2 linked regions of the Oryctolagus cuniculus genome follow. The protein of the gene in region 2 purifies or fractionates together with the protein of the main gene of each other region. This does not show direct contact. Links are inferred from orthologs where the notes say so. Each region holds a gene or a part of one and is shown on either strand. Other genes may lie near its edges.

Region 1 (3,744 bases), on a different chromosome or scaffold from region 2:
CCGCCCAGCTGCCTCCTGTGGCCTTCGCGTGCATCGACGAGGCTCACTGCCTGTCCCAGTGGTCCCACAACTTCCGGCCCTGCTACCTGCGCGTCTGCAAGGTGAGCCGCGGACGGGTCTGGGTGGGTGAGCGGACCAGGGCCCACCTGGGCTCAGTGACCCACCTCTGGCACAGGTGCTTCGGGAACGCATGGGCGTGCGCTGTTTCCTGGGCCTCACAGCCACCGCCACACGGAGCACTGCCCGTGACGTGGCCCAGCACCTGGGCGTGGCTGAGGAGCTGGGCCTCGGCGGGCCGGTTGCCATCCCCCCGAATCTGCATCTCTCCGTGTCCATGGACAGGGACCCCGAGCAGGTGGGTGTGCACAGCCCAGGGGCCCCGGGGCCCCTGCAGGCGGCCGCTCTGACACTGCCCCTCGGCAGGCTGTGGTGACGCTACTGCAGGGCGAGCGCTTCCGGGCGCTGGATTCCATCATCGTGTACTGCATCCGGCGCGAGGACACGGAGCGGATCGCCGCGCTCCTGCGAACCTGCCTGCGTGGGGCTCCGGGCCTGGGGCCCGCAGGTGAGGCAGGCAGGGCTGGGGCCCCTGAGGACTCCGCCTGGGCACCCATGCCTTCGTGCCAGCGGCTGCCTGTCTGCCTTCTCCAGAGGCCGTGGCCCAAGCCTACCACGCCGGCATGCTGAGCCAGGAGCGGCGGCGCGTGCAGCGGGCGTTCATGCAGGGCCAGCTGCGCGTGGTGGTGGCCACGGTGGCCTTCGGGATGGGGCTGGACCGGCCGGATGTGCGGGCCGTGCTGCACCTGGGGCTGCCCCCGAGCGTCGAGAGCTACGTGCAGGCCGTGGGCCGGGCTGGGCGTGACGGGCAGCCTGCCCACTGCCACCTCTTCCTGCAGCCCCAGGTTGGTCCCCCTCCTGGCCGCGGGGGTGTCCGCCACCCTGGCCGCTCCTCACGACTGTCCCCTGCAGGGTGAAGACCTCCGGGAGCTGCGCAGACACGTGCACGCTGACGGCACGGACTTCCTGGCCGTGAAGAAGCTGGTGCAGTGGGCGTTTGCGCCCTGCACCTGCTCCCAGCTGCTCCCAGCCCAGGAGGGAGGTGTGGGCGGCGAGAGGCCCGCGGCAGGCCCCCCCTCCCAGGAGGCCCAGCGGCACCACGGCCAGCAGGCAGCCCCCGCGTCCGGCAGGAGAGCCTGCTCTGGTCACGAGCGGCTGCTCCCAGCACAGCAGACAGTGCAGGCACTGGACATGCCGGAGGAGGGTGAGGGACCCGGAGGAGGGCCTGGGGTGTGAGGAGGGCCCCATCCTGTGTGCCCTGAGCCCTGCTCTGGCCCTAGCCATAGAGACTCTGCTGTGTTACCTGGAGCTGCACCCTCGGCACTGGCTGGAGCTGCTGCCCGCCGCCCACACCCGCTGCCATCTGCGCTGCCCTGGGGGCCCCGCTCAGCTCCAGGCCCTTGCCCATAGGTGAGCACCCCCCCCCCAGGCTGGGGACGGGGACAGAGGAAGGGGCTGCTGGTCTGATGTGTGCTCCCACCCCCCACCCCGGGCACAGGTGTCCCCCTCTGGCTGCACACTTCGCCCAGTGGTCACCTGAGGACCCCAGGCACAGCCGCAGTTCTGTGGAGTTGGACATGCTGGAGCTGGTGGACGCGAGCGGCTGGGAGCTGGCCTCTGTGCAGCGGGCTCTCCGCCAGCTGCAGTGGGACCCAGAGTCCAGGAGAGGTGAGCCCAGCCCCCCCAGCCCAGCCCAGCCCAGGCCCTGCTGCCTGCCAGCTTGGGACGCTGCGCTTTTGGCAGGTGCACCCAGGGGCACAGGTGTGCTGGTGGAGTTCAAGGAGCCGGCCTTCCACCTGCGGAGCCCCGGCGACCTGAGGGCGGAGGACTTGGACCAGATCTGCGACTTCCTGTATGGCTGTGTGCAGGCCCGTGAGCGCAAGGCCCTGGCTCGCCTGTGCCAGACCTTCCAGGCCTTTCGCAGGTGGGAGAGAGTGGCCAGAGCTGGGGACGGGCCAGCTGTGCAGCCCGGTTCTGACAGGCTTGTCTCTGCAGCGTGGCCTTCCCCAGCTGCGGGCCCTGCCTGGAGCAGGTGGACGAGGAGCGCAGCGCCCGGCTCAAGGCCCTGCTCGGCCGCTACTTTGAGGAAGAAGGGGGAGAGGCCGAGGAGCTGGGACTTGAGGACCAGCAGGCACCGGAGCTGGGGCAGGCCAGAGTGAGTCCAGATTGGGTGAGCCTGGCTCCAGGTTCCCCAGGCCACCCAGGGCCTTGGCTGTGTGAGCCACGGTGCCAGGGGGCCTGGGGAGACTGACGTGCCCGCCCGCCCGCAGCTGCAGGACTGGGAGGAGCAGATCCGCCGCGACATCCGCCTGCTCCTGTCCCTGCGGCCCGAGGAGAGGTTCTCGGGCAGGACCCTGGCCCGCATCTTCCACGGCATCGGTGAGGGCGCAGGGCCAGCCTAGGGCCGGGGGCTGGGGCGGAGGCGGCCCCCAGCTCAGCTCCGCACGCTCCTCCCTTGCAGGAAGCCCCTGCTACCCCGCCCAGGTGTACGGGCAGGACCAGCGCTTCTGGAGGAAGTATCTGCACCTGGACTTCCACGGGCTGGTGCGCCTGGCCACAGAGGAGCTCCTGCCGCCGTGCCGCTGACTGCCGGGGGGGGGGGGGGGCACAGCACACAGCATGGACAAGCACGGGGGCGGGTGGACAGGCAGGCTGCAAAGTGCAGAATAAAAGGCACCCAACACGTCCAGACACAGCACTCGGGCCACGGCACGCCCTGCTTTATTGGCTCAGGCCAGCGTGCTGGGGGCCAGGCCAAGGTCCAGCAGGGGCAGGGCCGACAGTGCGAGCAGCAGAGAGAAGCAGAGCCGCAGGCCCAGGCCGTCGGCCAGGGCTCCAGACAGGGCCCCCAGCAGCAGCTTCCCGAGCAGCTCCAGCGTGGCCAGGAGGCTGTAGTGCGTGGCCTGTGGTGGGGGCGGGGTCAGAGCCTGCACAGCTGCCCAGCCAGCGGCCCCGGGCGCCCCCACCTCACGCCCTCACCTGCAGGGCCCTGGGCGCCCGCTGACTGCAGCGCATCATCACGGTGAAGGTGACGGTGGTGACCAGGCCCCCCAGGAAGTGCTGCAGGCACAGACTCAGCAAGGCTGCACCTGGGGGGGGGGGACTGGTCACAGGGCCCAGGCTCCCAGCCCTCCCTCCCCGAGGCCAGCCCCTTACCTCTCAGGACGGAGGCAGGGCCCACGCTGGCATCTGGGGAGTCCAAGTGGAAGAGCAGGACGGTCTGGCAGGCCAGGCCCCCGAGGCGGAGCCGCAGCAGTGACCTCAGCAGGGGCAGCGGCCGCCTGGGACGGGGCGGGGGTGGGGACATGGAGCCACTGGGGGGTGGGGAGCAGGTGGCGGGGGTGGGGGGGCTGTCCAGGGCGCTCACCAGTGTCTGGCTAGCAGGGCCCCGGCCAGGGCAGAGCCAGCGATGGAGCAGGCCACGGCGCCCACGCCGTTCCAGAGCCCCAGCTCGGGGGCGGAGGCGCCGCGGTCCAGCAGGAGGAGGGGCAGCAGGCTGCCGGCGCCCTGCTCGCCTGCGGGAGACCCTGAGCTGCAGCAGCCCACACCCCACAGGGAGCCGTGCTGCCGCCTGACTTGAGGCTTCACTCACCCAGCTTGTAGGTGGACACAAAACCTGCCGTCCACATGGTCCCAGGCACAGCCAGCAAGCCCTGCAGGAGATGGGGGGCTTTCCCAAGGGGGTGT
Region 2 (3,744 bases):
CAAACCATCCCATTTCCTTCTCCCTCTCCCACCCCATTCTTCATGAAGATTCATTTTTAATTTTTAATTATCTTTATATACCGAAGATCAACTCTATCCTAAGTAAAGATTTCAACAGTTTGCACCCACACAGACACACAAAGTGTAAAGTACTGTTTGAAGACTAGTTTTACTGTTAATTCGCATAGTACAACACATTAAAGATAGAGGTCCTACATGGGGAGTAAGTGCACAGTGACTCCTGTTGTTAACAATTGACACTCTTATTTATGACGTCAGTAGTCACCCAAGGCTCTTGTCATCAGGAGCTGCCAAGGCTATGGAAGCCTCTTAAGTTCGCCAACTCTGATCTTATTTAGACAAGGCCATAATCAAAGTGGAAGTTCTCTCCTCCCTTCAGGGAAAGGTACCTCCTTCTTTGACGGCCCATTCTTTCCGCTGGGATCTCACTCACAGAGATCTTTTACTTAGGTCATTTTTTGCCACAGTGTCTTGGCTTTCCATGCCTGAGATACTCTCATAGGCTTTTTAGCCAGATATGAACACCTTTAGGGCTGATAAGAGTAAGTTATTAACACAACACTTTCTTCCCAGCGTTGAACTTGGGGAGGCAAGAGTTCCTAATGCCCTCAGTCACGTGCGGCTTAGTGGTGAAGATTTGTTCAGAGAAAGGCACTGTGATCTGGACCTTGGGTGAACACCACTGAGTGACTGACACAAACCAGGATGGTCATGATGATACACTCTTGGGGAGACCACCACTGTTGCTTGTGGACTGCGATCATCAGCACTGGGGAGGGTGTGTCAGGGAGCTAAGATCATTTCCTCTTTGGCCTGAAAACTTCCATCAGCCGTCCAGATGCCACAGAAGTCACCTGCAGCTATACCAGCGGCAGACATACCGCGTCCATCTGGAAGGTGCCAGGGAAGTCTGCGCTGAGCAGCTCCGGGGGCTGGAGACTCCTGGCTCTTCCATGATGAACTTCTCCCTTCTACACCATGGGGCTGGCCTTCCTGCCCCTTGGAGGAAAGGCTTTGAACGCTCAGAAAGCAACACCTCTAAGACCCACGTAGCTGTCACCTTGGGACCACTCTCTCAAGTGCCATCCCTCCTTGCCCCTCAATTAGAAAGATGGCGAGGGCAATGCATTTAACGTGGAATAGGGCCCCAGATGGAAACCCCTGGATGTGGAAAAAATGTCCGACTCTTGAGTTTTTTCACATTTCAGGGAACCACACCCGCAGTTGGAGCCGGAAGACCCCCCCCCCACACTGTTATTACTGGGTCATTTCACTAGATTTGGGCAGCATGCCTCCAATCTCCCTGAATTTCAGTTTCCTAACCTGGAAAGCCCTGGTGATAAAACCCGTCCTCTCCCAGGACTGCGGTGAGTAGGAAATGATGTAACTCAGAGAGAAGCGCTTTATTCAAATGCAAAGCACATCTGGTGCGGGGATTCAAAATGCCTGCCTGGCTCCTCGGCCCCTCCCACTTGGCGGAGACGCCGTCCCCACAGACTGACTGGTTCTCCTCCAAACTTTATTCAGCCGACCGACCGGGCCTCGCCCTGTGGGGAAGCGTGGTTTAATTTCATCCTTCTGGGGGTGCGGGCTGAGTCTTCGGTCACCGGGCCCGTGGTCTGCTGCCTCTCTCAGCGCCGACCTCCCTCAGCACACTGCTAAAGGAGGGGCTGAAACGGGGGAAGGCCGTGGAGACGAGCATGGCAGGGCCAGCCTCATCCACACGAATCGCCATGCGCCCCGGAGAGCCGCGCCGCCGGCGCCGCGGTCCGCACCTGGTCTCCGCGGGGCGCCGCACAGATCGAGGCACCTCCTCCGCCCGCCGCTCTGGCGCACTGCGCCAACAGGGGCGAGGGGAGGGGGCACAGACACAGTGCCCGGATGCGGGAGCAGGCTGAAGGCTTAGGGAGTGGCCCTCACCCCGCTTCTCCCCCACCTTTTTTTTTTTTTTTTTTTGGCGGGGGAGATGGAAGATACCAAATCTTGGCGCAGAGGCGGCATGGCGGCCCTCAGGCAATACAGCGACTCTGCAACCTCTCTCTGCAGATTCCGCTGGGCTGGCACGTGCAGGCTGCAGTCTTGCCTACGCTCACACAAACCGTCCACCTGCGTCTCGCTACGCTACCCCGTCTTCCACTTTGCAACGCCCCTGCGCTTTACTCCCGGCCTTGTTGCGCCTCCGCACCCTCCACCACGTGCAACCTGCGAGAACCTTCTCGCGGGTCTCTGCTTCCTGCCGCCCCCCTCGGCGTCGGTGCACGGCAGTACTAGCGTCGGCGAGCCTGGGGGGTCCCCCGGTGCGGTCGGCGCCGCCTGCGCCACACCTTTCCCACTCCTACTGCCACCCTCTCCGCCACGCCTTCCCTGTGACAATCCCGGTGCCTAAATAAGCTGGTCGCCCCTTCCCCCTCCACCAGCTCCCACCCGGGTAAAACGGAGCGGGGCGGGGGGGAGAGTTCTGCGGCCTCGCCCCCGACCCACTCCGCAATGTGGCGGGGGAGCGGGGCGCCGGGGCTGCGCCCATGGGTCCTCTCCGCGCGTGCTCGGCCTGCTACTTACGGTGGCGCCGAGAGCGGCGAGCGCGCCCTGCGCTCCGCATCCATTAGCCGGGGGTCTGGCCGCTTCACTTCCGGAGCGCGGGGCTCCGCGAGGCGCCGCCCTCCCCCCCCCCCCCCGCCCGGGTCCCGCGCGCGCCCCGCCCCGCCCCACGTTGCCGGGAACCGGCCGCGTCTCGGCTCCGGCTGCCGCAGCGGCGGCCCTCCCAGACTCAACTTTGCCGCTAGCTTGCGCGGGGGGCGTGGGCAGGGAGGGGAGAGAGCGGGGTCAGGGGGCGGGGCCGGGAGGGTGGGTCGCCCGCTCGCCAGCCCGCCTTCCTTTCTGTGCACCTTGCGGTGGGCAGAGAGCGGCAGCGCGGTCTGTGCACGCGGAGAGGGAGCCTGAAGGACCAGCGCACGCACGCACGGACGGGACCCTCCCCAGCCCCGCGCCATGGCCGAGAGGAAGCAGTCCGGGAAGGCGGCAGAGGACGAAGAGGTCCCTGCCTTTTTTAAAAATCTGGGCTCGGGCAGCCCCAAGCCGCGGCAGAAATTCTGTGGCATGTTCTGCCCGGTGGAAGGGTCCTCGGAGAACAAGACCATCGACTTCGATTCGCTGTCGGTGGGCCGGGGCTCGGGGCAGGTGGTGGCCCAGCAGCGGGACGTCGCCCACTTGGGCCCGGACCCTCAGACGCCGTACTCGCGGCAGGGCCGGCGCGCCGGCGGGGAGCCATCTGTTGAATCCGGCAGGAAGGTGGAGATACGGCGGGCCTCGGGCAAGGAAGCCCTACAGAACATCTACGACCAGGTGGGTGTGTGCGGGGAGGTAAGTGGGTGCGGGCGCTCGGGCGCCAGCTCGCCCCTCGCCCCTGCAGCCTGGGCGCCTGCCTTCGTGCCCTGCCGCGACCGCGGCCTCTCCGCCTCCGCACGCGCACCCCACCCTGCCCGCCCCTTCTGCGCGCAGGGCGCGGCGGTGGGCGGCCGTGCGCCCACAAAGGCTGCTCGCGCTTCCCCGGGCTCGGGGGTTGGGAAGTGGATGGGCGTCAGGGACTGGCCGATCGGGGTCTGGGAGGAGAGGGGGTCGCCCTGGGAGAGGGGTGGGCCGCGGTTCCATTCTTCTTAAGTCCTCCCGGGCCGGCGGCTTCGGGTTGCAGTTGTGGCTGGGAGCCCCACCCTTTTTTTGATGCAG

What was found. The genes of interacting proteins can lie anywhere in the genome.
Region 1: the proteins of PNMA2 (region 2) and RECQL4 purify together in Homo sapiens (affinity purification with mass spectrometry; 3 studies listed by BioGRID and IntAct, with this or other methods). This does not show direct contact. The link is inferred for Oryctolagus cuniculus from reciprocal best matches to the Homo sapiens genes PNMA2 and RECQL4.

What each region holds. Positions count from the first base shown.
Region 1 is NC_091437.1:168,206,539-168,210,282, reverse strand, and holds the end of RECQL4 (ATP-dependent DNA helicase Q4), read left to right. Parts: coding exon 1-101; intron 102-175; coding exon 176-355; intron 356-423; coding exon 424-565; intron 566-651; coding exon 652-902; intron 903-969; coding exon 970-1,261; intron 1,262-1,337; coding exon 1,338-1,467; intron 1,468-1,555; coding exon 1,556-1,725; intron 1,726-1,800; coding exon 1,801-1,981; intron 1,982-2,052; coding exon 2,053-2,212; intron 2,213-2,327; coding exon 2,328-2,436; intron 2,437-2,518; coding exon 2,519-2,643; 3' UTR 2,644-2,786; coding exon of another isoform or gene 2,787-2,960; 3' UTR 2,961-3,036; coding exon of another isoform or gene 3,037-3,146; 3' UTR 3,147-3,148; downstream 3,149-3,744. Other genes in the region: MFSD3 (major facilitator superfamily domain-containing protein 3), read right to left, coding at 2,787-2,960, 3,037-3,146, 3,214-3,338, 3,425-3,572, 3,650-3,744. UniProt on the Homo sapiens protein: An ATP-dependent DNA helicase which unwinds dsDNA with a 3'-overhang in a 3'-5' direction. Does not unwind more than 18 bp of dsDNA. May modulate chromosome segregation. The N-terminal domain (residues 1-54) binds DNA Y-shaped DNA better than ss- or dsDNA.
Region 2 is NC_091433.1:47,729,438-47,733,181, reverse strand, and holds the start of PNMA2 (paraneoplastic antigen Ma2), read right to left. Parts: upstream 2,679-3,744; 5' UTR 2,581-2,678; intron 1-2,580. Other genes in the region: DPYSL2 (dihydropyrimidinase-related protein 2), read left to right, coding at 3,010-3,363.